Linked DNA regions of Drosophila melanogaster. The protein of the gene in region 1 interacts with the protein of each later gene in a pairwise test. Each region holds a gene or a part of one and is shown in the gene's direction. Other genes may lie near its edges.

Region 1 (9,339 bases):
AAAAGGAACTCCTAATTGTTATTTGATGATCTTATCCAGTTAATGGATGGAAAGGGTTAAAAACAAGCGCCAAGGTAGTTTTATTGTTAGAGATGTATTAATGACAATATAATCATAAAGTGGGATATTTAGTTTTACCTTGTTTTGTATAAATAAAAAAATAGTCAATTTGTGGCGTAAATAAGAACAATATACAGTGAGGAGTAAAACATGGTCAAGAAGTCATAAACTTTTAAGTTTTTAACGAACTTCAATTCATTAATAAATAATTATTTCTCCTGTTTTTTTACAGCTCCGCATCTCCTTAAAACATCGTGATAGTTTCAGAGATCCCCTTGCCATGCAATTAGTGCCCCATTCACAATCAGCCACGGGATTTTCGATGTACAAGTGGCTCAAGAAGCTATTGCATCTGAAAAAGGGTAAAAAGACGCCACCAAAACCCACAAAAACGCCTCCAAAAGTGCCGAACAAATTAAAGGAGAAGAGAGTGCACGGCCAAAAGCAAACGATGACCAATGACTTGGTGCTGGTTATAATGCCAGACCAACTGTATAGGGGTACCGAAAACACTGCCAAATCCAAACTTTATAAACTGGCCGAGAATCGCGTCAGCAAGCAGCGTCATCGAAGAAGAAGTCGTCACGAGATAACCAAAGCCTCGGTTGAAACATTTAGAACAGCGATTCCCAGCGAATGCAATAACAACAACTACAATGTTAATAACTGCATAAGGAGGCGAAAGGATAAGCCCTTGCGAAATAGTGTACGATATAAGTTGGCATCTCTTCATGCCGATATGAATGTTCGCTATGAAAAGGAACACGCTCTAACACGTCAGCTATCGGAAATGTGCCGACTGTACCGATTGCAGAACGAACGGTACAAGGGACCGGAAATGGAGCTATCGGTCGGGCAGTTGCAACAAAATATCGAAGCCTATGCCGAGGACATTATTAAAACTGAACACGAACTTCTCGAATTGAAAAATGAAATTAAACATGATATATCGCTGATTAATAACTTAAAGCGTCTGACGTTGGAGGAATCGGAGGCAGATGCCGCCTGTAAAAAAGGCGCAGCAAAAATAACACATCCCTTACAGGAAAATGAAAATACCCCTCAAGTTGCTAAAAATACGCAGGAAATGCAGTTTGTTGATAATATTTACGAGTTTTGCGATAATAATGCCAGTATGCTGGTGTAATTGCAATTATTTGTAACTTGTTAAGTTTTCTACCAAAATAAATATACATTTTGTATAAGCATTATAAATTAAGACTTTTTAATGGTTGTGTTTTTGAAAGACTTGTTAATGATTAATGATTTCAAATTACTTAATAATACAAGTTTTAAATAATTTTAAAACGGTAGTGTGTTTTTAGGGAACAAACTTATTGAACTATCTACTTTACTATTTCACTATCATAAACGTTCAATAACCATATGAATAATCTTAATCTTAAATTCTTAAAACTCCCAACTGTTAAAATGACAGTTTTTTTCGATTTATGCGTGAGTACCGTTAAGGGGTTTGAGTCAGGGTAAGTGTCAATCAAAGACTCAAACCCACATATGTTTCTGGACAAACATTTTGGATACATTTGAACTCTGGTCCCATTCAATCCTGGCAGAAAACAAAACCCATCAAATTAAAAGTATTTTAAGAAAAGTTGTCAATAATTTCGGGTAGCAAATCACTACTTACTTTACAACGAGTTTTGCTCAAATTCGAAGCTGCATCACCTGCATTTAGGACAGCCAAACAAATTTAATCGTCTTAATTAGGTAAGTTCAATGGTGGCTCGCAGAACGTGGTCGCAATCCACATTTTCAGTAGTGGTGGTGGTGATTTGTTGTTGCAGTACAGTAACGCAACGGATTTGATTAAAACATTATTAATATCTTATCGATAGACGTGCACAGATCCAGCAAAATCCTCTCTGGTGACTGGTAATTCCTGCTATTACTTTTTGAGTGGGTGGGGATAAAAAGTGAAAGCTACTGCGCTTCTGCCGCCTTTGTTGCAAATCCCGTTTGGGCCACAGATGATTAATGACCTTTTTGCAATCCACTCGTACTAACCCTTCTATTTGCATTCGAATTTGCATGCAGCAAGCAATGGCACGTGGACACCAGAAGATCCAGTCGCAGGCGAAGGCCTCCGAGAAGCAGGCCAAACTAAAGAAGCAACAAGGACACAGTGCCAACGACCAGAAGAAGGCGGCCCAAAAGGCACTTGTCTATGTGTGCGCCGTTTGCAAGGTGAGCCAGCTACAGTGAAGCCTCTGTAAAGCGAACAAACTAGAGTTTGAAAGTGCCTATTGCATTTCATCCAGAAGGTTAACTTCTGTATGATGGAGTTATTAGTCAACTCAAATAATAACAAAATGTAGTGCTCCTTAAAACTATCATAATCAGAAACACTTTTACTTGTGATATTGTTTTAACACTAGTTTCCGCTCTTACCCATGTTTTTGAGTGTATAAAAAAAAAGTATTTCAATTTATATGCACTTCCTACTTTATTAACATTAACTGCTTTTACTTGTTGTCGTAAGTAATTCAAATTAATTTAATTGAACATGAATATTTACCAATATCAAATGAATATGTTTGTCCAACGTTATCTTAAATTAAGTGATGACCAAGCACTGCTGATATTTGATTACTTTAAATGATAACATATTGATATACGATCACTGTTTTCAAGTTGCTATATTTGCACCCCTAGTTCCTTTATGTATGTGGATAACAATTTGGGTGAAAACCTAATCGAATCTCGCCTCCATTTCAGTCGCAAATGCCCGATCCCAAGACGTATAAACAGCACTTCGAGAACAAGCATCCCAAGAACGACATACCCGAGGAGCTGAAGGAGGTCTGATGATCGTTTCACTTTAAGCTGAACGAGATGGACGAGTTGCCTACCAGTACGAAACATTTGCAACAATAAATTTGCATCAGCCCTAAGAAGAAAGCCCACAATCAAGCCGAAGCCAAGAGGATGGATAATAGTCGTAATAATAATATACAAATGCCAGTTTTTTCGTATACACACTGCTGAATTTTGGTTTTGTTTTATACATTGAAATTAACACAGTATGCGATTGTTCGATGTGTGGCTAAACCAATACAAAGACACCTACCTACCTTAAAAAATGAATAGAAATTGTTTAATTTTGATATTTATTGCCTAAGCCACAGGAAGATATCTAAAACACCATAAATACTCTGAGCTCCGTTTTGGATTTTTGTTTACACGTGAAAGTTTTATACGAATTATGCCACAAATGAAAGAAAATAAATCTTTTTGTACTATAACTAATTTATGTAATTGACAATTTATAAATAAAAATGTTAAAATTATATAATTTGTTATAATATAATAATTTATTTAAATATTATTTTAGATGTGCTTTTAGTTTAAGATAAAAATAATACTTTTTCGGGGGAGTAGGTAATATTTTTAAATTACGAACATATAACAAATACTTTTTTATTTTATTACGAAAAATAAAAATGTTGAAATGCTTAAAAATTATACAAATAATTAGAAATAGGAAAATTTATTACGAGTACCGTTAAGTGGTTTAAGTCAGGATAGCTGTTAGTCCAAGACGCGAACCCACATATATTTATGCCCAAACATTTTGGATATAGTTCAGCTCTGGTCCCATTTAATCCTGGCAGCGAAACAAAACCCGACAAATTGATACAAATTTACGGTTAATCGTTAATAATTTCGGGTAAAAAATCAAAACAGTTTGTAACAACGAATTTTACGTAACTGCAAAGGCTGCATCACACCTGCATTTAGTACAGCCAACCAAATTTAATCGGGTTAATTAGGTAAGCAGCGGTGGATTCGCAAAAAGGGCGCAGAACGTGGTCGCAATCCACATTTTCACTTGTGGGCGTGCTTTGTTGTTGTTCGAGTACAGTGTCGTGTCAGATTTTCCAAAACATAAATAATTGGTATCTTAACTATAGTATACTGACCGGAAACTGTGCTTTCCGTTTGGTAATCCCAAGAGTCACCTATTCAGCTGTGTGGGAGAAAGTGAAAGTGACTGCGCTTCCGCCACCTTTGTTGCGAATCCCGTGAAGCACATAGACGGTACTACTACATATGCTAACTCATCCATTTCCACTTAAACAGCAAGAAATGGCACGTGGACACCAGAAGATCCAGTCGCAGGCGAAGGCCTCCGAGAAGCAGGCCAAACTAAAGAAGCAACAAGGACACAGTGCCAACGACCAGAAGAAGGCGGCCCAGAAGGCACTTGTCTATGTGTGCGCCGTTTGCAAGGTAAGCCAGCTACAGTGAAACCTCCCTAAGTCAGCAACTGCAGTGGGTTAATCAAATGGTTTTGAGACAGCTCGAAGAATCACGCAAGAACTCGCTTACTTTAACGTCGAGGTTTTAAAACGCAAATACTAAAGAAAATTTATCGCAAAACATTCGACATCTCAGGAGCTTTAAACTAAAGAATTCGATTCAGATGAATGTTATAGTAATGCCTTATTTTATATTTATTACTCGTACTTTGTGGTTTATTTGAAACCTAATCGAATCTCGTCTCCATTTCAGTCGCAAATGCCCGATCCGAAGACTTACAAGCAGCATTTCGAGAACAAGCATCCCAAGAATGACATGCCCGATGAGCTGAAGGAGGTCTGATGACCGATGTGGCTGCGTGCATATATAAATATATCAAGCTGATCGAAATCGACGAATTTCCTACCAGTACGAAACTTTTGAAACAATAACTTTACAACAGCCCCGACAAAACAAACATCAACATTTAAGTCGATGAGAGGAGGGCGCGTAAAGTTAGAACATAGTTTCCAAAGCTAAGGGCCCAGCTGAATTTTTTATATACACACTGCTGACTTTTGGTTTATACTTTGAAAATAACACATATGGCTACCACAACAATACAAAGAAAATTTACACATAGTAAAATAAATACTTTTGTTTTGATTTTTATTTTCCCTGAAAGGCAACTAGCAATTTGAGTAACAATAATTACTTGTGCTTTGTCTTTGATTTGGTCTATTATGAACAACGATGCTGACAATGTCGTAGTTTTGTATACGATTTTTTTACTAAAAAACCTTTGAATACATCATGTAAATGAGAATTTATAAATACAATAAAAACAGTATAATTGTTAAAACTAAAGAGAAAAGTTATTGCTGCAGAAGCATTGTCTAATCTTATGGTTAGTGTATAAATGCAAAGCATTCCTGTCTTTGATGGTTTCAATGCTACTTAACATTTGGCAACATCCCACTTAAAATTTAGGCTTTCTATGTACATTGTTTTAACAAGCACATTTCGTTCTATAGTTAAAAAGTATACATTAACGATTTCCCTGCACTTTCAGTTTCATGAAAGTTTTTTCAGTTCTTTGGTTGGACATTCAGCTACAATAGGTTGACTCCCGGAACTGCTGTCCTCTTTCGTTGTCGGAGTCTCAGCGGAGTATTCTTCATGCGCGAGTTGCATAAAAACCAAATCTTCTTTTGCCGGAAAATCAGCGAGTACTGTAATGCCAATGTTGTTATCCGGCAGCGCAGGCGTTTCCTCGTGGTACCCAAACCAATAGATTATCATTCCAGGACCAAAACTGACAATATATATATATATATATATGTAATTAGAATAGTTATAGAATGAATTCTTTCATATTACCGATTGCAGTAGCTTTGCAGCTGCTGTTGGATGTTCGACTTGTGTCCCTTGGTGTCCCCAAAATTGGCCTTGCTCTCGATCCAGTTGATCACAGAGCCTTTGTAAAGAAATGGCAGGATCATCTTGATGTCCGGCGTCTTGTCATATCCCATGCGTCGCAAATCTTTCTCGTCGTAGAAATGGATACCCGCCTCCTTAGCCAGATTCTTAAGCTTAAGCTCGTACTCCTCGCCAACTATGCGGCGTCGCAGGTCCGTTATGGATCCCTCTTGATTGTCGCTGACTATGCACTGCTGCACATTGGCCGCCAGCTTGGGATCGTCGATAAGATGCGGATGCCTAAGAAGCTGTGAGATGTGCGATCGATGCCGATCCTTGTACTTCTCCTGCAGCAACATCCTGCAGAGAGCCACCGGGTTCAGTGCTTCGGCACAAGCCATTCGGATCAGTAGGGCATTGTCGTAGTATAGGTTTTTCTGCTCCTCGTAGCTGAATCCAAGCAATTTGGATTATTATTGGTCATGGTGTCAGGAAAGAACACGAGATTGTGGCCTTACGCTTTGAGAAGCCTTTTCCCGCGCTGATCCTGCTTCCAGTGACCACGCGACCGGTTAAAAAGCTCCGACTGCAGGATGCATGTCAATGCCATTGGCTCCACGTCCCTGAAGAAGCGATTCCTCAACTCGAACTCGCAGTCGATGGCCAAGCCGTGGAAGCCGTTGATAAACCGGCAAATCTTATTGTATTCGCCGCCGCTCAGAATCTTTCGCTTCTGTTGCCCATTTCCGCCGGCCAAATCCGGAATTTGGGACATCATTTCCGGCCAGAAATACAAAACTATTTCAGCGAACGTATGAAAGAGCGCCAGAATAAACAGCTGTTTAACGTACGCTAATCGAATACACATTTTAATTTATCGATAGCTGACGTGCCTGAAGTTTCTCCACGTCGCGAAGCGTTCACACTGGTCGGCAGTGTATATCGAAATGTTCCGAATGCATTTAGTTCAATTATTTTCATAAAATTGTTATCATAATATTGACTTCTTGAAAAATGTTTAAAATAACAAAATGTGTGTAGTGCCACCAAATCAGTGTGTGCGAATTAAGGCCTAAAACAAAAACAATCGGGTTCGAGCATCGGCTATCGGTAAAGGATCCAATATCGTAACTATTGTACCGATGCGTACCAGTACCGCGTAACGGTACATTGATTGCATTACAAATTTATAAATTATAGAATATAATACAAAATAGTACACTTGGATATTTATTTTTAATTATTTTTTGGCAGCAATTTCCGCCCTTGGCTGTAATGTATTGAATGAAACAAAGTGTCTTAATTTTGATATATTTTTATTTTTATATATTCTTATACATAGCACGGGTTTACGATCATTTCTTAGGTTAACACTTCTATTATTTGCGTTAAGCACTTTTACCACTCAACACAACTAGGAAATGTTATTTTTTAACTACGCATAATGGGTGGTATGCGAATTTTTGTATAATTGTTGACCATTTTGACTTAAAGCTATAATATAAATAAGCTTGGTTTTTTATAAATGCTATTCTTATTCATCATTTGGAAGCAAAGATCATTCCTTTTTGCTCGATTTAACAACAGTTTATAAATGTGCACCTAAAATAAACTAAATGAGATACGAAAGCGTGTAATAAATAATAATTTTGAATAAATAATTGTTTAATAGTGTTGGTGTAAAAGGCAACAAAGAAAATGTGTTGTTATTGAGAGTCTACTTGTGTTTTAACTCCCTTATCTAAGCGATTAATTCGAGTTGGTTCATTCAGCTCGATGGTCAAACTTGGTTTAACAATAAGTCATCTTAAAACTTGACCTGATTCCGGCCGAAAACTCTTACCGGTTTACACGATCTAGGATTAACAATATTAAAATTTATTACCTTAAAGTTGATCTTACGGCTGCGTAATTGTTAATTGTTACTATTGAATTATCTTGGGCTAGGTCTAACTTCTTCATTGTGTGTGTGTGTGATTACCTTAATGGTTTTTTTTTAAGCTTGACAGGCTGAATATTCATTATTTTTTTAAATTCTTTGCAATTATTCGGTTCACTTCATATAGTCGTGGTATTATTGAAGACGTTTGCAAAGATTTAAAGTGTACTTGACTAAACAACAGCGTTTAGTTGGTCGATCGAAATATTGCACCATTGTGATGTTTAATTTCGGACAAACTTTCTTGAATTCACTCCTTAAATCTAAATTATTTTAATACCAATTTGTTACTTGACTTTAGAGCTCTTCGTTTAAGGATTTACAACTAATCGAATTCGTTTCTAGGTTAATATTTGATTTTGTTTTGTTTTTTTCGAAAGAAGGCATGGTTATGAGCTAGCGATTTCCATGAAATACCACCGGCAACATTTAGATATTAAGTTATTTATAAAATATACTTGCTTAACATACAGTAGAATCATATATAATTACGCACAGGAGTGATGGGGATGTGTTATTGCAGGTGAACGTGGGAACAATGCTAACTCTAATACTATTCCGGAAAAGTCTAACAAACATGCGCTTTAGGCTCTACCAAATAAACAATTAACAATTAATACAAAGCGATTACACTGCTAGTAGACAATGGGGCGAAAAGATGTTTTGTTTAGTCGATTAGATTTGGCTTCGATTGCGGATATTGTTAGTAGAAGTGCGGCGGCGGCAACGTTTGCGAGGGCAACGTTGTCGGCTGCTGTTCCCATCAGACAACAGAATCTTTCCGTATCCTGAATTTGTTAGCATGTTTTCGGGGGGAAAAGAGAGACAAGACAACATTTCATCAGCAATGGAAGGGATGGGAGTTGAGTTAGTTTCAGGAATTCGGTTGCTTAAAACTATTTTCGCACCACATATAGTTCTCAGTCTGAGGGGCACGCATAACGCCCACGCCGCCGCCCAGTCGGCGGTAGTTCATGCAGCCGCACAAACGCCATTGGTTCGTCTCTGGGTCGTAGACCTCGATGGTTTTCAAATAGGCGGAACCATCAAAGCCGCCCACAGCATACAGCTGTCCATTGACGACGGCCAGGCCAACCTAAAATGGTGCGATTTCATTTAATACAATACTATTCGCCGAGAAAAAGTGTAACAAAAACTCACCCCACTGCGGCGGGAGGTCATGGCCACGATGGGGCTCCAGGTATTGGTCAGTGGATTGTAGCGCTCGGCGGACGAGAGCTCCATGCAATCGTCTCGCCCGCCGACGGCGTAAATGTAGTTATTGAACACAGCACAGCCCAGGTGCTTGCGTCGCGTTGACATCGGGCTGACTGCTACCCATTTGTTGTGTCTGTAATGATAAAATCGGGGCAATGTAAATCAAACAAATACTACGTTCAAGTGCAATGTACATTAAGGTCATTTGTTACAAGCGATAGAAAATGTACTTGTACGTCTAAAGCTTTTAAATGCTTTATTTATGATTTACCTGGGATCATATCGCTCTACGGTGTTCAACGGGCACTGTCCATCGGAGCCGCCAATTGCGTAGAGAAATCCTCCAAGCACGGCTACCGCCACTCCCAGTCGCCTTGTTGTCATCGGTGCCACTTTCGACCATTTGTTCTCTTTTGGATCGTAGCGCTCCACGTGGTTCAAAC
Region 2 (11,198 bases), 4.2 Mb from region 1:
CATCAAAGCGCAAACGAAGCGTGTGATGACACCGAGGCGAGGGTTAGGATGGGATACCATAGGTTGGGTTCTTATTGGCTAAGATGGAAAGACAGGAGGGCCAACAACAGCTGTGGGCTTGTTTGATGGCCAAAGTTTGGCAACAAGTTCAATTACTTTTCACCTGGCCAAGAAAAGAAGCAAACAGTTCGCAATTTGTTTAAAACCTGACACGTGGTTTCCCTATCACTGGCCAAATCTGAATCCTTGGGCAGACTTGGGGCTAAGTTTTGTCTTAAACGATTTGATCTGGCTTTTTTGGTTTGGAGTAACCAAACAGCTATTCGATTGTTTTGCCAGCACTTGTTTGTGGTTGAACTTTTCATTTTACGGCCTGTAAGATATTAGACATATTTAAACTACATTTCCATACTGTACATCTGACCTTAATGTTTGCTTAAATTTTGTAAGCAATCCCTTAATAATGGATGTCTAGGTAACCATTGTGCTATTTGCATCCTCGCCAATCTGAATTAATTAAGAATTTTGCAGCTCACTATTTCCCGCCATCAACTGCTCGACGAGTAATCCGATGCTTTAGTAGTTAGCCCAAGAACTGGGTAAACAGAATTTACCATATCTGCCAATGGTCCGGCAGGTGGAGTACTGCAACCTGGCCATGTGTCCGGAGTCCCTTGGAAAAAATCGATTTGCCAGCGCAGTCGGAAATAAATGCAGTGCGTAGTACCAAAATAAGCCAGACGTGTCAATCGGGAATTAAGCCAGGGCTAAGTGAAATGTCAAGCAGAAATGGAACAGATTGCTCGGCGAATCGCTCCTGCAAAATTAAGGCCAACAAATACGGCGATAGCGACATCGCCGAGGACGCGAATTGGCCAAAAAAGGAAATTGAATTGCATTCCAAAAGCATTTGTCGTATTTCAGCTGCAGCTTAAACCCGATACAGCGGCAAGTTTATGAATTTAGCACGAATGTGTGACATTTTAAAGGGTAGAGGGAATTATATACGAGTTTATGCGGTAAGCCAGTTAACTGGGATCGATATTTTACATTATGTTTGTTTGGTTTGCAGCGATTATATACCCTGCAGTTACATTCATTACGTTTTCAGCAGCGAATCGCCACGAAGTATGTATCTCGACCTCTCAGTTTGTTTGTAAGAAAACTATTGATGATTTTAAGATTAATTGTTTTCCCGATTTTGGGATAAGTTATAAGTTTGAGTTGCGATGAATTGTGGAACTGTAGGGTATACTACTATATAATATAGAATATATCAATATATTTGTATATTTTTTAATGACTGCAAGAGTCGCTTTTTCTCTTTTTTTTCTGGGCCATTCCGAGTTGATCGTTCACCTCTAATAAAGCTGCATAATCAGGTTCAACTTTATCGCCTCCCCCGACGTTTATGGCCAGATGCAAAGGCTCGCCGAAGGGCCAAACTGCTAACCAAGTCAACACCGACAATCTGGGGCAAAAAGTTTCTGGAGTTGTGGGACGCACAACTTACACGGAAAGAAAATTAGATGTCATATGGTCAGTACATAGACTCTATCATTTCGGATTCATGCATTATAAGCAAATCTAGTATAACACCTTTGACATAAGTGAAAAGGGAACAAATCCTTGTTAGAGTATTAATTCAAATCCAGTATATATATCGACCCTAACTTTCTTACAGCGCAGTTTGCAGATGCGTCCGCCCAGCAAAAATGTAAAGTCTTGTGCATAAAAGTGTTGTTCTTCCCGCTGTAAGTTTGCGCGGCACTATTTATCCGCCGAAGTGGAGGTGGACGGAGGACTATGTGGCCTCCGGATGCCTTGCGCTTTGCATACTGAAACCGCTGTGGTGCCGCACTTCTGCGGCAGGACGAGGGTATGGGTTTTGGGGGCGTGGCTCCGATAATCCGCAGCTATTCGATGTAAACTGCGTTTCTTTGTCGATGCAACAATGAGCCGGAGAATTCTGAACCTGAAACTGGCTGGAAGTCGAAGGCCCTAGATAAAACACCAGCTGAATCCAATCAGCGGCGACTGGTGCCACCCCGTGGGCAATCAAGTGGCAAACTGCTTCGCGGGTGCTCATTAAGTCGTTAATGTGGTTGAGGTTTTTTGCCTACAGTTCCGCCGAACCACGCCCATCCAGACCAAATGAGCTAGCAGAAATTGAACTTTGCAAAGCCATCAAATTAAATAAATACTGAATATAGTGTTTCCTCACAAGTGAAATGCTAAATGCTCTTAGCATAAAAAATAAATATAATTTATTAAAAAAATTTTATGTATAATGCATAATTTGTATATAATATTTGTTTTCCTGGCTGGTTAGTATATCATCATAAATCTAAAAACAATGGACTTACTCAGCTAATGAGCTGTCTAGATAAAACCCAACATCCTCGAAGGAAATCCCTTAGATGGCGTATCGCAAAATGACGATGTAAGATGCCTATTCCCGGTCGGCAAGCCGCAGACATATGCACCTCCTTAGATGTACTGATCGATATCCTTTGGGGCCGTGTGCAGGCGCAGGATAATTGAATTTGAAGTGAAGCTGCTCCTTGTGGCAGTTATGAAATTTCTAGCCCGGCTTCCGCTGCCAGGGAACGGAAACAAAAGCGGGGCAAAACGAAGTTACAAGTTGCCAGCAAGTGTGAGTGTGCGTCTGGCTCAATATATGGGCATGGTGCCGGGTCTGGAGGTGGCGCAAAGGATCAGGATGCGATGACGAGGCCCACATCAGTGCTGCCAGGAGGAGACAATAAATTCACTTAGGCGGCGGAAACAGAAGAACAAACTGAAGGGAAAACTCAATAAATTAGACCGTATTGGAGAGAAAAACTGTTTTTTAACGGCCATATTAAGTTTTAAATTCTTATGAATCTTGAACTTTTTCACTCTACGTAAGATATTCGAAGAACATCAGCCCATTCAGAAACCCCAATATTACACATTATGTTATTATGGTTTTACATTTTTCAGAGGTTCTTCTTGTGGAAAGGATAGCAAAAGCTGTCAGCACTGCCACACATGCCCCCATGTCATGCAGCCTCGGCAATGAATTTGCGTTTCCGCCTCGCCGCTTTCGCCATCATGGTTAACCGCGTCGTTGATTTAAGGGCGTTCTCCGTTCCTTGCGAGTAGCTGGCGTACTCCGCATCCTTTGTCCTTACTGCTCGAGCGACACAATTAAAAATGTGCGGCCCAATTCATTTGATTGGCACGAAGGAAGCGACGAGATAAGCAACTTCCGTTGGCTGAAATTTTGGCATCTTCATCAATCAAGAATGTGCTCGTTCTCGTGGGCTGGCTGTTGGGGAAAATGTCATATAGGTTGATAGAAAAAACAGCAATATAAATATTTCAAATTAATAATTGATGTCTACCAAAAGCAGTTAAATTTTTTAATATCTTCACAATTATTGCCGATTTCCAATAAAAATATAACAAATTAATAAAGTATAAATTTAAATCAACTTAATTCCCAATAAAAAGTATTTCATAATAAATAAAACAAGGATAACGCTAGGAACAGTAAGTAATAAACTAGTATTCCCTTATGAAAACCCATGAATTTAATGTCCGATTAAAATTGTAATATTTAGCGCCTAATCGATAACAAGTATGTATACAGCTGTTTTAAACTGTCTGGTAGCACTGATCTTATCGAATATGTACAATTCCATCCCTAGAAAAACTTGCATAAAAAATAAAGAACAATTGAACAATTGCATTTAGAATGGAGTATGTGCACTCTGTTTGGAGCTACCTAGCCTCGATCTGCAACTGCTGGCAATGCACCGAAGATCCAGGTGCGCAGGTAATCCGCACATTCCCCTTTCCCCGTCAACAGACCGAATACACAATGCGTTCCATCTGCAGCCCAACGAGCCGAACGAGCGGACACACCTTCTCGTGGACCCGGTGAACCATAGTCCTGCCCTTCGACGGAGCAACTCCGATGGCCTCAGCACCGACTACGCCCACTCCCTTCCCAAGAAGGACGATCAGAACGCCCTCTCCAGACTGGTGCAGAATACTGCGATGTACGTAGTTGATAGTGTATAGGGTCCACATTTGGCACTATCATATACAATTCCATTGATTGGAATGCTAGCATTTTACAGCGATTGCTATACTATACTATACTATAGTAGTATACCTACGTAGTTATAGCGATGGCAGGATCTAGTATGTAGTATGGTTATACCCAAGCATTTATCGGGATGTTCAATGCAACAAAGCAACACAGCCCTAATTATCGCTTATCTATATTATATTTGTATTCGCTTATACGCTACTTTGCTCTCCAGAAACATGATAAACGTTGGAGCCATGGACTGTCACAGCCTGGAGCACCAGGAGTACGCCGATAGAATAAGATTGTACTCGCAGCGGTTGCATCAACAGTGGAACAACGGCCAGCACGCCAGTATCGCACCAAAAGGTTTGCAATATAGCTAGATTGAAAGGGTGAATGATGACTAACAATTAAATGAACAACAGGTCTCCTTAAAGATGTACCAAGCCATCAGTTCTATCTGTCTAAGCCAACCTATCCAGATGACACTGCTCAAGTGAGTTTTACTTTTCGCAAATTGCTTGTTGCTTACCAATTTCGTATGTTTTTAGATGAAGCTCTTCACCGAGAAGGCACACATCAGTGTCTCGCACATACAGATCGACCACAAAGAGGCCGTGGTTGTTCCCTTCCGGATTCCCTGATTATCGTATCTTAAGTGAAATAAAGTGATAAATTTATATAAAATCAAAATCTATATTGGTACTAAGTAGCCCTTGAATAACCAGGTAATCGACTTATTTTCATTAAGTGTACAGAAGCAAATAAATACATACTATATTCTTAACACGGCAAGACATTTTTTTTATTTAGGAAGGCACACACACACACATATAGCTAAAATCCAAAATGTCGTTCGATCTTAACCATAAATTTTGGGTCTACACGCGCAAGGAAATTGGTAAATTAATCAAGAAGCAGAACCGCCTGAAGAAGATTGAGCCGCCAGAGGAAAAGGCAGTATCGTATAAAATTTACGCAGAGCTCTATGTTTTGTATGTGGAGCTGGTCAATAAGTTAAGTTTCATATACCACAATACTTTCCAAGTGCAAAAGCGGGCATTGGTACGTGTTTTGGTGGAGAATGCCACTCAGCAGCTAATGCAACTCAAGGAGGAGTTAAAAGACTTGGAAATGAGCGAATACATTTACATAGATAAGGCGCTGATCGCTAGGAAGCTAACACCACGGGACCTGGTCGTATGGAGGTCACCACAATTCCTTTACCGTCGCCCGTTGGACATTCAAAATATCATTGCCGACAACCGATTGTACATGAACGATGAGGAAAAGGAAGAAAAGGCAGCCCAGGATTGGGTTCCGATCAGTGAGGCGGTCAAGCTTATCCAAGCTCACGAGAGGGCGCGCCGAGCTCGGGTTTACAAGTCCAACATAAAGTACGACAAGAAAAAGTTCCTCAAGGTCCATCAAAGAAAGAAAATAAATTACAAATTCACCTTTAAGCCTGATCAGGCAATGAGTATTCCCGTGAAGAGAACCATTTTTTCAGCTGACTTCTTGAAGGCGGACGAGTCCTGCGAAAATCTTATCAAAAAGGATGATGTAGCGGATACCGCAATAGATGGCAAGTAGCTAGATCGTTTCAAAACAATTAATTTGGTTTTTAATTATTTTCTAGATGAGGAAGCCTTAAGTGCAATACAGAACAATGCTGCTTGTAAAATCCAAAGTTGTTGGCGTGGTTACAAGACGCGGAAAATAGTTAAGATTAGGAAGCGGTTCAAGGAGGAATTGTATGGTATGAAGAAAATTAGGAAACTGAAGCGACCCAATCAGACGGCAAATTCTATTATGGAAATGTACAAGAACGAGATGCTCAAGAAGAAGCTGGATGAGGACTTCATCAACTTGATCAACGATGAGCGCACCCGATTGCTGCAATTCCGAAGTCCATGGATGATGGAAGATATATCCGATCATATCCGGGCATGGTTCAAGGAATTGTGAGTTGTTTTTCATTGAGGCAAAAAAGGCAAAAACGTATAACTCGTACTTAACAGCTACGACGCGACTGGGAATTTTCATCCTTATCCCGATCCTGTAAAACAAGGAACGGTACTGGTTGTCATTGATGAAACAATGACGCCAATGGAATTTCAGGAAAGCCTTGGTAAAAAGCCGCTGTCAAAAGCCGAGTTGAAGAAACTTCGCGATAAGGAGAAGAAAGAGAAAAGGAAAAAGAAGGAAAAGCTAAAACAACTGAAAATGAAGGAAGCTAAACGTCGGAAGAAATTGAGAGACGCTGGAGTCATCGATATTGGCTACGAGCTAACTGCAAGCAAGGCAATTGGTAGATAGTTTGACTTAATGGAGAATGTTTCCATTGTCTCCAAATACTCTCTTCAATTTTAGAAAACATTGAAGAAACAATGAAGAAGTACTCCAAGGACTGGAGAAATGTCGATGAATATCTAAACAAGAATCATGATCCCATCAAGGAATGGGTTACTGAGGAGCAACTGGCAAAGATTCATCAGGAAGTGAGGGGCTTGGTCGACGAATACATGAGGTAAATTTATTTATATTTACAATGAAAATATAACTTTTCAACTTCCAGGGTTGAGTATGAGTTGCTGCGGGAGGCCTTGGCGAAGGATAACGATGAGAAGTACAAGGCTCTCAAGGTGAAGTATCCTAAGAAGAAGAAGGAGAAGAGGAAGAAGAAGCCCAAGGACATGACAGGCGATCGGACACTGGAATCCCTGTACAATGAGCTCAAAGATGCCGGCATAATAGAGGAAATTGGTCATAGGGACTTTGATGAGTTCATAACGGACTTCAACTTTGTGGCAGACGACACTCGAGATGAAGATGGCTTAACGTATGTTGTAGTTATTTGTTGAAAGAGCTACTAAGCCTAACAAAAAAAATTAATATCGATTTAAAATTCAGCACATTGGGCCCAGCAAAGGGTGACATTAAAATGGTTATCCAAGAGTCGATGCTGGGAATGGGCGAATTCGATGTTCCGAAGCCGAAGTCTCTTTTGCTAATTGGACCTCTGAATAGCGGAAAACGATTGCTGTGTGAAATCATTGCATCCGAACTAGGTATAGTAACATTTTGTTGGGAATTGTTCTTTTTTTTTTTTTTTTTTTTTTTGTCGGAGCACTTAAACCTTCTGTCTACTCCAGATGCAGTTTTTATGAACCTAAGTCCCGAGAATACCTACAAATATGCCAAAGACTTGAAGTACTTCCTGCATGTTATTCTAAAAGTGGCTAAGGCTTTTCAGCCCACCATAATGTACATCGAGGAAGCGCATAGACTATTTTGGAAAAAGGTTCCGCCTGAGGCAGTGGAGATTAACCCCAGACTGCTGGGCACCTCGTTAGCTAGCAAGATCTTGAAACCACTGAAGAAAAATGACAAAATTGTACTAGTCGGCACGAGTAACATGCCCTGGGCGGCCAATGGAGGCATCAAGCGAGCGTTCCAAAAAGTACTGCTTATTCCGAAGTGCGATTACGGCACTAGCTTCCTGCTGTGGCTGGAACTGATGACCGAGAACGCGCCAGATGACATGAAGGAGTACGCCTACTCGGCACTGGCACGCGTCCTTCAGGCGTACAACTCCGGCGACATTGATGATAACGTTAAGGAGACCTTGAACATCGACCGTAAGATGCGACTCAAGAATGAGGCATTGGATCCGAACGAGTTCCTTGAATATTTCCTGAGCAAGAATGAGCCTCCCATTTTCCCTCCAGATGAGAAGGTATACTTGCTTACTTAATACATGTTTAGCAACTAAGTCATTTAACTGAAATTCTTTTTAGATAATGGATAAGTTCAATAAATGGTTCGGCAGCTCAAACAAGCTGGAAAAGCTGAGAAAATCGTATATGGCTCAAAAGTTGGCGAAGGCAAGCAAAAAGAAATAAATAAATCAGTTTAAAACTTATTTAAATATGCATTTTCATATATAACTATTTGTAAGTGTAAACTTACCTTGGCCTTAAACTAATGATACTATGGAAGTGCAGATGTTCTTTGTGTCTTTTTTATTGAAAATATATAACCAAAGTTTTCCTATGGAAAATAGTATCTAACGAAATGAAATAATTTGTGTAAAATGTAGTTCTTATATATTAAGCATGTCATTTAATTGTTTGTTTGTTGTTGTGGTAAAAACTCCTCCAACTCAGAATCTTCAATTTCACACAGTCGAACCGAAATGTTGCTGTTGGATCCAATTTCTCCGACAGTGCATGGAAATAGGTATGCCTCCTCTGAATTTTCTGCATAATTAGAGAGAATCGTGATATTTGTAAGATATGTAAAGGCATTTCCCTTGCTTACCACTTATCGTCCTCCTGGTTTTTATTTCCATCCTAGAAATCGGCCCCTCGGTCATAGAGCTTTCCCCATCGGTCTCACTTGGAAAATGCATCGTCGGTAAATACGAATCAGGATGTCTTAAATATACTTTGCCTGTGGAATAGATCAGATATGGACATTTTGAAGTAAGATTCTTGTAACATTTTATGTGGTTAATATGCAGTAACAAATATTTTTAATTTAATACAGGTTCAGTATAAAAAAAGCATTGACCTAAATTTATAAATAACCATTGGACTATTACTTATAATGAATACAAAACTTACACGAATGACTAACTTTCGACGGTAAAGGCACTGATTGCATGAAATGAAGTAGTTTAATAGGTTAGTATACAAAGATGTTATTTGTTAGAAAGTTTAAAGGAATAACAAAATTACTTATAAGAGGAAAGAGTTAGATATTGTGTGCAATATGTATTAAATAAATTGTTGAAATTATAAAATGAAAAATGAACTGCGATTTTGTAACAGCCAATAAGATAAATCAGCTTGTTATGAACATAAACATGAAAACGTTTAGTGATAATAATCAATTCCTTTTTTTTTTTTTTTTTTTTTTTTTTTGTATTTTATTAGATGCATTTAACATTTTAACGAAGGGTTTTACCTGTATTTGATTTATAGTCTTCATTCTCGATATTATTAAAAGAACTCAGTCTTGAAAGTGGCTGATTACTTGATCTTGGCAACATAAACGGCTCCAAGCAGCTCTCTGCCTCCGAGTCCAAATACTCCGATCCGATATCCTCATTCAACGCGGCTATATCCCTCGTCGGATCAACATCTCCGTCTTCCCCTTTTGGTGGTGAAATCAGTTATTGGTCCGGGAAACGAGTTTTAAATTCTATACTTACTGTGCACGAAAAAGGCTTTCTTCGACTTGGACTCGTTGCTATCGTTGCTGTGTAAGCTCGACGAATCAGCTATTTCTGCTCCAGGAACTTCGGTTATATCTGGCAAGGGATTATGGCTTTTGCGAACCCAGTCGGAACAGTCCCAATGATACTGACCATTGGCAAGAGCTGAATAATCAACGAAATTCGCACTGGAAGAGTGGCACACGTTGGGCATTTCAACTTGGATTAGTTTCCCAGTTGAAAAGCGACTCACAGATGGTCCGAAATCCCGTTTAAGTTCTGAAATAAAGAGCAGGTTAATATTTGCTTTTGCTATCTGACACTAAGAGGCATTGACTTACCATTGTTCAGTTTATTTTCACTGAAGGTTCTTAAATGCATTTGCTCGCACCATTCTTGTTTGTAGGCATTATCTGCATCGGTTGAATGGCAGGAGTTTATGTTCACATGCTGTTTGTTTCGATTAACCTTCTGGTACTCGAATGGCACATTTTCCAGTTCATCGCCGGCCGAACCGTAGCTACGCAAGATGTCTAAGTTATTTACAAAATTCCTATTGCTCAGGACTAGGTTGTCATTTGGAACTGCTGTGTAGCTAATTGGACGCTGGTTAACCTCCAAGTTACTCAACTTTACGTTTGGTTTGCAGTAATTGTCCTTGTCCACCAGTGAGTTCAAGTTCGCCTCCTTGTACGACGACTTGTTCTTGTCCTTTTCTAGTCGGTTCCTTCGCTTTGAAGAGGAACTCCTCTTCAACACCACGCAACACAGGACACAACTGATGATGACCAGTACCACGGCCACGCCGGAAATGATCCCGCTAATGTGCTCTATAGAAAAGTTCTTCAGCTTTGTAGAAATAGAGTTCGAATACAGGGGATCGCCGCAGCTGGCTCCTGTGAGATAAGATGGACAAATGCAACGGAAACTTCCGGGTTCATTGATGCAGGTCGCTCCATTGCCGCACGGCTGGTTCTCGCACTCATCCACATCGATCTCACAAGTGGGTCCCGTGTAGCCGCGGCACATGCAGTGCGATATTCCATCGCCTTCCTCGCAAATGCCACCGTTTTTGCACGGGTTCGGCGTGCAGAACTTGCCGTACTCACACCTCTTTCCGGATAAGTGGATGGGACACGTGCAGCTGTAGTTGTTCGGTCCGTGGTAGTCGCACCTGCCGCCAAACAAGCAGGGTCCCGATGAGCAAGGGTCCAAATCAATCTCGCAATGCTTGCCGGAATATCGGGGCTGACAGGCGCATTCAAACACGTCCGTATCGAGTTCCTTGCAGATTCCACTATTGGCACACGGCTGAGATCCGCAAATGCCCAGGCGCACCAGAACATTCGACGGATCGCACTTGAACTCGACATTCGTAAAACGTTTCAAGGCAGCAATGGTACTCCCACCGGAAATGTACAATGGCAGCGACTCTTTGGCTATTTTGATGTTTGCCATGCAACCGATGAAGCCACGCTGAATATCCTCGTAGCCAATTATCGATGGATGCGGACGAACCTCGGCGCCTACAAAGATATCGTTCGACTGGATGTTCAGGATGCCATTCACACCCGGAGCACTGCCATGGGAGACGTGCTTGTTGTCCACCATCACTTTGGCACTATTGAGGGACCGCTCTAGGCTGATTTGATGCCACTCGCCGTCAGAGATGTTAATGCTGGACACACTGATGACTCCCTCGCCCGAGCCCAAATCGAATCTGTACTGAACAGCTCCGTTTATGATCTCCAGGATGTTGTAGTCCACCTTGCCGCTGGCATACAGCAGAGTCCCAGTTTGTTGCACAGTTCTTATCTGCAGGGAGTAGGAAAACCCGTTTTCCAGCGTGAACTTCGCCTTCACCTTGTTGATCTTGTAGTGGGCATAGCTCTT
Region 3 (10,276 bases), on another chromosome or scaffold:
CGGTTGTACGTACTCGCTAAGGCAGCACAACAAATACTGCAGTAGATCGAAGGAGATCTCCCGGAGACCGCTGTCGGCTGGGCCGGTGCCTTTATTACCCAAGTAAGAGTCTATAAGTTCGCTGAGGCTACCTTTTAGGTTGTTCCTGGCAGAATGTTTGAGTTCTGTGTACGAGGAGTGGGTCAAGGCCAAGGCAAAGACGCACTCACAAACCTTGTTGATGCCGGTCAGTCGGGCGACCTGGCCAACGAGATCCGCTACCGCAACAGGCTTCAGGGACTGCTTAGGAATGAGTATCCATAAGTAATCAACACATTGTGGGCATTGTAAACTCAACTTACCTTCTGGTTGCTGGCGAAGAACTGGTCAAAAGCGTAGCAGATGTTGGACACAAACGATGAACTGTGAAGCTGACGCTCCAACTGGATGCCCAGGAGCTTCGCCTGCAGCTGGACCGTAACTGATGGCACGAGATCGCTGAAGTTGATCACGGAGAACAGGTGGCGCAGGCTGCTGCGATCCGCTTCCAGGCCGTGCTCTTTAACGAACTGCAAGATGTCGTAAATGCTATCAGTAATGTATGGTTTAGAATCAAAGAGCTGCATTGCGTAGGGTTTGGAAGCCAATATAAGTGCCTTGACAGCGACTGCCCGCAATCTGGGACACATATCACTGTATAAGGGACAGTGTATGTTTCAAACGATTCCTCAGATTCTGCGGTGACCGGGATTTTTTTTTATGTGATTTTCATCGCAAACTTGGAAATTTTGACAGGTTCTATTATGTTCTGTGAGTGTCTCAACTTTTCTCTGTACAATTGGATATGTGTTTACGGATACAGGGCAAGATGTAAAGTAACATTTTGGAGGGATTATTTCTAACTCCAGGCAACTGTTTTCAAAAGTAAATCCATTAAGTCATTATTTCTTGCCCGCTTAAAAACTTTACCCAATTGGCTTTTTAAAAGCGCAACCAGAGGGTTAAAACATGAATTTTATCATTGGGAATTCCAGTTTAGGTGCACCATTGTTGGGCTCACAGGTTTCTGAGATTATCTTGAATGCTATAACTAAATGGAAGACTATATCTCAAATTGGGCTATCGTTAAGTTAGTTAATGTATTTTCTATCCGATAATTTCTCCATGGAATCCAACAAATTCCTAGACCTTTCTTACTATAAATTCCGTTGGGTTATCCTAGTACTTCATTCCAACATTGAATATCAGTGAAAATTTGGTAATCCTACTGAGTTCGAATAACTTGAAAACTTATCAGGCTTTTTAAATGGCAGATATAGATTGTTGAGAATTTCAAAATACTGAAGTATATGACTCTGTTTTGTTATCATTTTTTTTTATCATTTTTTTTAATTTTTGAGGAATATGCCATTTACTGTCAAGAAAACGGGATCTGTAGCATAGTTTGTCCCACAAACGATTACTTTTTAGGGGATTGTTGGGCAAATGGTGCCATTCTAAGCCAAGTATTTGTTATGATACTAATTTGAATGGCAAAACTTTTCTAGGAGGCTAGATATCCCCCTCCCTCCCTACGGATCCAAAACTGTTGAAATATTTGATCCGGAGCTCGGAGTCCGGAATCAAGGCCTCACTCCGAACGGGGGAGCGAGACAACAGCTTTGGCCCCGCCGTCGCAGCTGCTCCACAACAAATTACACACGCGCCCTCTCGCTCGCACACGTTGGCGAAACGTTACATGGGTAAGGAGAGAAGAGAGCATGACGGTGCGCGAAAGGAAGGGGGTCACAGGAAAAAGTGCGACATATTGCAACTCTAGCGAAAAGAAAGCGGCCGCAATTGATATTCCCACGCAATTTGTCCCACGAACTTACTATTCAATTTGGTTTCTCTCGTTTGGCAATGAAAAAACAGAAGTTTCGGGGCCGAAAAGCCCTGCGCTTGGCTTGGGCTTCCCAATTCGAATTTCGCAATTCGATTTCGCACTACTACGCTGCAAAATTCACACTGCCATCAACTCACGAAACACGTTTGTGGCTAAGCGCACACAATTGGCCTGGTTTTACACATTCTATAAAACTTTTAGCTTAAACAAAACGCTCACAAAACGCGCAACGCCGTGCAGAGAAATTTTTTCAGCTGCCTTTACCAAAAAACTGTAATGGCGTCGGCAAAAATGCACGAGCGAGTGAAATGGCAATAGCCCATTCGTGAGTGCGAACAATTGGCAACTCTGGTTGGCCAGGTGCGATATGTTGTCGGTTTGGCAACACTAAACCCCCGCCCCCTACAAAATGTTGTTGTTATTGTTGACAAAATGAATTGGAAATGGTTCATGGAAACTTTGGTAGAATAACTTGGGCACCTACCTGATTTATTTGCTCGCTGCTCTCATTAAAATTTCGCTTGTTCACGTGCTTGACCAGATTTCGAATGTGCGTTGGCGGTGTCTTCAGTTGGCTCTCTACGTTCATAATTCTACGTATCAGTTGTCAATTCCTCAGCGGATGTTTCTTGTTGCTGTTGTTTTTGTTGGAGGCCACCAGAATTTTTTGTTCAGCACACACGTTTAGCGTGCACTGGTATTGGAGATTAGAGATATTTGACGTATTCGCTGTTGCTTCTTGGCGCTTTTCATTTCACCTACGGCGCAATTTGTTTTTGTCTCTGCCTTCCTTGGTTTTTTTTTGTTCTTTTTTGGGTCTGTAGATTCATTGGCCGCGGCCCCCGTATAAAAGGGGCCATCAGCAGCTCTACATTGCAGGCGGCATCTATTTACGCGTAAATCAAATAAACATTAAACTCGGTTTAATGGTTTCATGAGAAAAATCCGATTGGCTATGTCCTCGGCCCAGTGTGTACAATATTGCAATAGCTCACGTAATGAAACAATATGAATCAATCCGCACGTACAGCGAAAACAGAAATGAAAAAATACTACTACTACCACACACACGCACGCACACACGGGCAATTGAGGCAGAATATATGGCTGATCGTCGTCGACCTCCTTTTCCACTTCCTTCCGGTTGCTTTGGTGTTTCAAGTTTAGCTTTTGGGCTCGTTTGTATATGTATGCTAGGAAAATTACTTCAAATTTGTTTGCACTCGTGGATTTTTTAATTATTGCCGAAATGAAAATTTTGCATTCCCTGGGAAGCGTGTTCAGCAACCGATAGTTCAGTCACTACTGCTTGGCACTCACAACGAATAGTGTTACAAATCACGGGTTTGTGATTAAAATATAGAAATCCATAACGCCATGTGGAACTTATACCAGAAAAGCTGTAATACTCTTTTGAATTACCAAAAACGGCGGCAAATCTTGCCGATTAGTAACGGATAAATAGCCGATGTTTTTCCGTTAAATTTAAACTAGTAATAAATATACAATAAATTCAAATGCTAATACATAAATTACGCCTTAATAAATAAATATCAATAATAAATAAGAATAACACAATTGCTTAATCTTGTAGCGTCAAGCAATTTTAACTTCTTATTTTAATGTTTATCGTAAAGATGTTTCCGCAAAGGTAATTTATTATTAACCTATTATATAATATTTACAATTTTTTAAATGTTGGGTTCAATAATTTGAATATGCATATGGCCACAGTAGTTCCAACCGCGAGTCGGTATTTTTTGGGGGCCCTCCGTCCGGTCACACCCCGCCCCATCCACATGCAGCCCACTCCGCCCCCACATAGTGTACATAACAAACGGGCTTAATTGGCAATTTAGCAAGCAGTCAGTTAAATGTGCGCGGCAGGCAGTCCCATCGTCAGTGCTCTCCTTCGGCAGAATGTGCTCCTGCGAGCTGGTGGTGTCCTCCGGAGCTGGGACCCCATCTCCTCCAGCCTGTCCCCCTCGCCGTGCAAACCAAACTATAGTTTCGAGGCGCGCGCTTTCGCGTCGGACGCTGGAGCTTCCGCTCCAGCTGCAACCGCCCAGATCTCGCACCCAAAAACAGTGAGTGATTTCCAAAAGCTTCACGAAGCCACCAAAAAGAAGTTCCAATGTAAGCCTCAACCAGTCGCAGGCATATGCATATATGCGTAGTATGTGCACGATCTATAAATACCCAGCCGCAAAGTGGTCCCATTAGTAACATACCCTCCCGTTTCGCACCACTTGACATTTTCAGCCAAGAAGCTGCCCTCCGATGTGCATCCAGATGCGGTCTTCGCCTGCAACGAGCTCGATCTCAGCGAGGTGCAGGTGTACGGATTCGATTACGACTACACGCTGGCCTGCTATAAGCCCATCCTGGAGGACCTGCTGTACAATCTGGCTCGCGAGATGCTGGTGAAGAGGTTCCGCTACCCGGAGGACATCCTCCAGCTGGAGTACGAACCGAACTTTGCGGTACGCGGCCTGCACTACGACGTGGAAAAGGGGCTGCTGGTGAAACTGGACAGTTTCCTGCAGCTACAGCTGGGCTCGGTATACAGGGGACGTACCAAAGTGGAGGCGGATGAGGTGCTGAAGCTCTACCACAACCGCCTGCTGCCTATTGCCTACGTGGAGGGGCCGAACAATAGCTACAGGGTTCGTATCGATATCTTATCACCTGGCGGCTTACGCTTGGGTTTTGTGTTTAGCAATCAGTGATTTACGATCTCCTTTCGCACAGCATAACACCAACTCCAAAATGGTGCAATTGGCCGACCTGTTTTCTGTACCTGAAATGTGCCTGCTGTGCAATGTAATCGAATATTTTGAACGCAATCGAATCGACTACAATCCAGAGATTGTTTTCCATGACACCAGGACCGCCATGGGCTCCTGCCATCCCATTATGCACGGCAAGGTGATGCGGAACACTGAGAAGTACATAGAACGAAACCCGAAGCTGGTCAAGTTCTTCGAGAAGCTGCAGCAGGCGGGCAAGAATCTCTTTCTAGTCACCAATAGCCCGTACTCGTTTGTGTAAGGGAATGTGACATCTTTTATTTTACCACAATTAAAATTTACGAAATCGTTATGTCTGCATTTGTAGAAACTGTGGCATGTCCTTTCTGGTCGGCGCCAACTGGCGTGATTTCTTCGATGTGGTCATCGTGCAGGCCCGCAAACCAAAGTTCTTTACGGATGAATCTCGACCAATAAGGCTATTCGACGAGCGAACGCAGTCACACCTATGGGATCGGGTATTCAAGCTGGAGAAGGGAAAAATCTACTACGAGGTAAGGGTTTCCCATTCCCACTTGGTTAGTAATCAACCCTGTTGTCTGATGTTCTTCACAGGGTTCGGTGAGACAGCTTCAAGAGCTGAAGGGCTGGCGTGGTCACTCTGTGCTCTATTTCGGAGATCATCCGTACAGCGACCTAGCAGATGTTACTCTGAAGCACAGCTGGAGGACAGGAGCCATTATTAGCGAACTGGCTGTGGGTGTTTTATATCAAGCAATTATCGTATTGCCTCTAAGGGTATTTTCGTATTGCAGCACGAAATTAAAACCCTCAATCGTAAGGACTTCAAGATGAGCGCCAACTGGCTGCAAATGCTGACGCAGCTCATCGAGGACACCCAGGACGATGATAGCGAGGCAGCGCAGATCTGCCTAAAGGAGTGGATGGAGGAGCGGGATCAGTTGCGGTAAGAAAATATACATTTATCTAGTGGCTTACGATAATATCTCTAAATCCGAATCCAATCTTCGACAGCAACAAAACGAAGAACGTGTTCAACGAGCAGTTTGGCAGCGTTTTCCGCACCTACCACAACCCCACTTACTTCTCAAGACGCCTCTTCCGCTTTGCCGACATCTACACCAGCGACATAACCAACCTGCTCAAGTTCTCCACCACCCACACCTTTTATCCCCGACGGGGTGTAATGCCCCACGAATATGCCTCCCACTTTATCTAGAGAATTTGTGGGGACGAATGCCCGTTAGGAAGCTCAGATTAGTTGTAGGTAACAAGAAGTGCCAGTGTTTAATGCTTGTAGCTCGAAACTAGCGAATTTAATGCGTGTATATCGTTATTTACATTATTGCTCAATAAAATCGTTGTAATAGTTCAAGAAAACCTCGCGATGCTCGCTAGCCAGATAATCCACCTTACCTTTCATCTCTAGCAGTTCCTTTCTATCGGTGCGGCATTTCTTCTGGGCTATGATATCCCACAAATAGGTCATGCGAGCAATGTATTCCGTTGAGTTATCGCCACACTGCGCAGCAATGCCTTCCAGCTGTTTGCGGATAATCCTCGCCAGATCTTCATACTCAAACTCATCCAATGAAGTGCCTCCTGTTTAAGTAGAGGTTTATAAATTACGACGTAACAAAATCCAGCCGTAGCCTACCATCTATCTCATAAAAACAGGCTGTTACCAGTTCCTCGGCCATAATTCTTTTTAAGCTGTGGTGATCCACAAGCCACTTGTCTAGATCATCGAATGCCTTGAACAGCGCCTGCCTTTTTGACGAATCGGCACTGCTGCCGATGAGTCCAAGGAACTCATTGTACCAGGCGAAATGTTGAAGCTCGTGGCACACCGTGCAAGTAATCGGTTTCTCTGCATTGCATCTCAGCCACCAGCGAAGATTATTCTGCTGAACTTTGGCGTCTGGCAGAAATTCTTGTCGGCAGTTGGGCTTTTCGCAGCGATAACGATGAAAAGAAAGCTGGAAGATTGGGAAAGACATTTACAAATGGCTTTGCTTGGTTTGAAAACGTACATAGTTCTGGTCGGGATCAGTTCGTGTGCACTTAGCGCATGTGCACTCAAATTTGTAGATGGCCTTGAGCGGATGAGATCGTTGTAGCTTTAAACTGTTTCTGTAATCCATTGTATAGCAATTGAAGATCTCTTCGCCTTCTAGAATGTCCTTTGCAGCGTAGTTCACCACGGAACATCCATCGAACTTGGTGCGAATTGAGGGTTCGCAGGCGTGGTTGCACAAGCTCAAGTAGGGCAGATTGATAGCCGTGATAGGATCCGAGTGGGATAGATTGTGCAGCTGGCCGCGTTTCAGGTGTCGAGGCTTTTGCCACAACTCCGGCTGCAGCATGACAAACTCTTTTGGCTCCATGCCAACTCCGAGCAACGCATCGCCTACATGCCCATTCGCCAGCAACTGGCCGGCGAAGCGCAGAATCAGTGCTGATATAATCAGTTGCCAATCTTCAATGCTGGCTGGCAATGAGTGGAACTGATCGTAGAAATCGGTGTGCTCTTTCAGGTAAAGTTGAAGGAGATTGGCACAGAGGATGTGGTAATTTAACTCCTCATCGATAGCCTGATCCAGTTGACTGACCATGCGCAGGCTTCGCAAATACTCTGGAGCGTTTTCACTCTCTTCCGGTTTTCGGGACAGATTCATTATTTCTTCCCACATACCCTTTGCACTGGTCATCTCTTGCAAATGAGGCCTTATGTAGGGAATGTAAGTCAAAAGCAATCGCAAGGCCAAATGCGAAATGCCCAAAAGTCGGAGGATATCCTTTCTGTAGGCGGCACACTCGAATTTGTGGATGGCCGAGTGCGCCTCCCGACACTTCCTAGAGCAGTAGACTACCCGCTGATGGCAATTGGGGCAGGGTATGGGTGCGCTCATTAAGGTGGCGGCGCACTGCTGGCAAATAAGCAGTTGCTCCAATGGAACAAAGCAGGAGGCGCGCTCTGAAAAGATTACGTTGCCTTTGCTAATCGCTTCCTTAGCCACCATATATCGACCACGGGGACCAGGATCTGTAAGGCTGAGAAGTAAAGGTTACAAATTAAGAAGTGGCCAGAATCGATTTGGAAACTTACATTTCCCCTAGAGATTTATCCACCACTTTCCCTTGTGTTTCCTGCTCTCTGGGTTGGTTCTTTAGCAGCTCCAGTTTCTGCTTCAGGTCTTCCAGCTGCTGCTCAAAGCTCTCTTTAAGCTGCAGCTGCCCGAGATAATCCAAATGCTCCTCTAGCGAAGCAATCTTCTTCAGCTTCCAGGCGCAGAAGGCCTGCCGCATGATCACCTTGTGCCGCAGCCTTTCCGGGTATCCGCACTCCAGCGCATTGGAGCAGTCGTCATAGGCTTCTCTGTAGTACCCGTACTCCTGCAAAGCTATTCCTCGGTTGGCAAACGCCAGCGACAGCTCTTCCACAGCATTCTCAGCCTCGAAAACGGCTTCCGAGTAAAGCCTGCATGCTTTCAGAACCGAGTCCTTGGAGGATCCCGATGCGGACTCTTTGAACATAAGGTTTCCCTCCTCGCGCAGATTTTTCGAACGTTCTGCGCATCCTTTCCTGTCAACCGGTTGCTCCAAATCCTGCAGCAAGTCGAGCGCCAGCTTCTGGAATATCTGCAGAATGTCCGCTGGCATGGATGCCAATGACTTGAAGGTTTCGAACTCATCCTTGTAGTTCTCATTCAGGGTTATCAGTTCGTTCTGCTGGGAGAAAGTTCTTGCCAAACGTTCCATGTCCACCGGCTGCAAAAATTGTTTACAAAAATCAAATCATGCGGTTGGTGAATTTTAGGTGCTTTTCGAGTAGCCGCTAATTAAAGAATCGATTATTTTTCAAAATTTAAGTTCTATTTCCCTAGTTAGTTCTATTCCTTATGGAATTATTTCACATTCTATTGAAATCAAGGGATATTATAAAGTCGTCGAAAACTTTTAACTTATTAAAATTAAATGTTTTATGATCACGGGTTATATCAAAATCTGGATTATCTTTCGGCCACTCGACACATAACAAACCCAAGCCAAGAAAAAGAATTAACTATTCATAAGTGGAATAATTTCTGATTCTCCTAAAAAGAAAAGTTGTCCAGATTAGCTAATTATCGATTTGCCGGCGACTATCGCACCTCTCCCACCACCAGGCGAAAACGTAAACAAAGTCTGGCAGAGAACGCACACTCATGCAGAATTGCGGGATTCCGTGACAGATTTAATCAAATTTACGGATTTCATCAGTGGAAATAACTTCGTTAGCCCTCTACTACCTTTTTAACAGCCAAAAGTCACTATGAAAGACGCAAAGGTGAGTTTCCCAGCTGATCGGAGTGGCGCCTGCAGTTACATCATGTCGTTTGGACTTCGATTGCTGTGTCTCTGTATTTTCCTGCTGAAAAACGTGAAAACTGATCAAATTGGAAATGAGTTTCAGCCCTTTCCCGTGCTCAAGAATGATAACCTGCTGCGCGCCGCACGTGGCGAGGTGGTGGACCGGGTGCCTGTTTGGGTGATGCGCCAAGCGGGGCGCTACCTGCCGGAGTTCCAGGAGCTGCGAAAGCACCACGACTTCTTCACCGTCTGCCGCACCCCGGAGCTAGCGTGCGAAGTGACCATGCAGCCATTGCGCCGCTTCGACCTGGACGCCTCCATAATATTTTCGGACATCCTTGTCATTCCGCAAGCACTCGGCCTCACCGTGGAGATGCACGCGGGCGTTGGTCCCGTTCTGCCACAGCCCATCGTGGTGCCGGAGGACCTCAAGCGCCTGACGCCGGACGGAGCCTTGTCCCGCCTCAGCTACGTGGGCGACGCAATCACCATGATGCGGCACAAGCTCGAAGGTCGAGTGCCGCTAATCGGCTTTACAGGAGCGCCGTGGACACTAATGGGATATATGATCGAGGGCGGTGGGAGCAAGACCATGTCGAAAGCTAAAGCTTGGCTCAACGAACATCCTGAGGACTCTAAGCTGTTCCTGAACCTGCTGACCGACGCAATTGTGGACTACCTGGAGATGCAGGTGAAAGCTGGCGCTCAAATGCTGCAGGTATTCGAATCGTCCGCCGAGCATCTCTCCAAGGAGCAGTTCCTGCAGTGGTGTGTACCCTACCTGAAGAGAATACGCGACGAGCTGGTGGACCGTCTCACAAAGAAGGCCATCCCCGTGGTTCCCATGGTAAGTTCCCATGGACTAAAACATTGATAAGATGCTTACTAAATGGAATTTCCATGTAGACGCTGTTCGCTAAGGGTGCTGGGCACTCGCTGAAGGAGCAGAGCGAACTGGGCTACGACGTTATTGGCTTGGATTGGACTGTGGATCCGCTGGAGGCACGCAATTTGGTCGGACCGAACATTACGTTGCAAGGCAACTTGGATCCTCAGGACATGTACCGCGATCCTGATGAGCTGCGCAACCTGACCACAGAAATGGTGCACAAGTTCGGCAAGTCGCGCTACATCGCCAATCTGGGACATGGAATCACGCCTCAGACTCCGATCACGAGCATGGAAGTGCTGGTGGAGGCGGTGCACAAGGCTCTGTAAGGTGTGCCTTTCACTAACCTTTAATTTTATGATGCTTTTATCGAATGCAATAAAGACAATTGGCCTTGGG

What was found.
Region 2: the proteins of CG18081 (region 1) and CG14183 interact in a two-hybrid assay, tested with the Drosophila melanogaster proteins (one large-scale study listed by BioGRID).
Region 3: the proteins of CG18081 (region 1) and Nt5c interact in a two-hybrid assay, tested with the Drosophila melanogaster proteins (one large-scale study listed by BioGRID).

The regions. Positions count from the first base shown.
Region 1 is NT_037436.4:15,829,706-15,839,044, reverse strand, and holds CG18081 (uncharacterized protein), read left to right. Parts: upstream 1-3,768; 5' UTR 3,769-3,851; intron 3,852-4,161; exon of another isoform or gene 4,162-4,165; 5' UTR 4,166-4,167; coding exon 4,168-4,311; intron 4,312-4,593; coding exon 4,594-4,683; 3' UTR 4,684-5,250; downstream 5,251-9,339. Other genes in the region: meru, read left to right, coding at 293-1,207; CG15715 (uncharacterized protein), read left to right, coding at 2,122-2,265, 2,797-2,886; CG12713 (uncharacterized protein), read right to left, coding at 5,395-5,635, 5,701-6,189, 6,258-6,517; dbo (diablo), read right to left, coding at 8,553-8,774, 8,840-9,029, 9,168-9,339.
Region 2 is NT_037436.4:20,021,497-20,032,694, reverse strand, and holds CG14183 (uncharacterized protein), read left to right. Parts: upstream 1-4,859; 5' UTR 4,860-4,933; coding exon 4,934-5,669; intron 5,670-5,723; coding exon 5,724-6,048; intron 6,049-6,105; coding exon 6,106-6,395; intron 6,396-6,457; coding exon 6,458-6,614; intron 6,615-6,662; coding exon 6,663-6,926; intron 6,927-6,997; coding exon 6,998-7,155; intron 7,156-7,239; coding exon 7,240-7,823; intron 7,824-7,884; coding exon 7,885-7,989; 3' UTR 7,990-8,008; downstream 8,009-11,198. Other genes in the region: Lamtor1 (late endosomal/lysosomal adaptor, MAPK and MTOR activator 1), read left to right, coding at 3,743-3,823, 3,886-4,049, 4,317-4,450, 4,510-4,580, 4,636-4,728; kug (kugelei), read right to left, coding at 8,210-8,346, 8,408-8,539, 8,713-8,742, 9,056-9,244, 9,303-9,584, 9,647-11,198.
Region 3 is NT_033778.4:9,575,837-9,586,112, forward strand, and holds Nt5c (5' nucleotidase C), read left to right. Parts: upstream 1-3,613; 5' UTR 3,614-3,738; coding exon 3,739-4,000; intron 4,001-4,126; coding exon 4,127-4,530; intron 4,531-4,615; coding exon 4,616-4,911; intron 4,912-4,981; coding exon 4,982-5,168; intron 5,169-5,229; coding exon 5,230-5,370; intron 5,371-5,429; coding exon 5,430-5,581; intron 5,582-5,649; coding exon 5,650-5,854; 3' UTR 5,855-5,977; downstream 5,978-10,276. Other genes in the region: Not1, read right to left, coding at 1-282, 342-668; Smyd4-1 (SET and MYND domain containing, class 4, member 1), read right to left, coding at 5,978-6,237, 6,293-6,614, 6,669-7,689, 7,745-8,397; Urod (uroporphyrinogen decarboxylase), read left to right, coding at 8,951-8,965, 9,092-9,835, 9,895-10,206.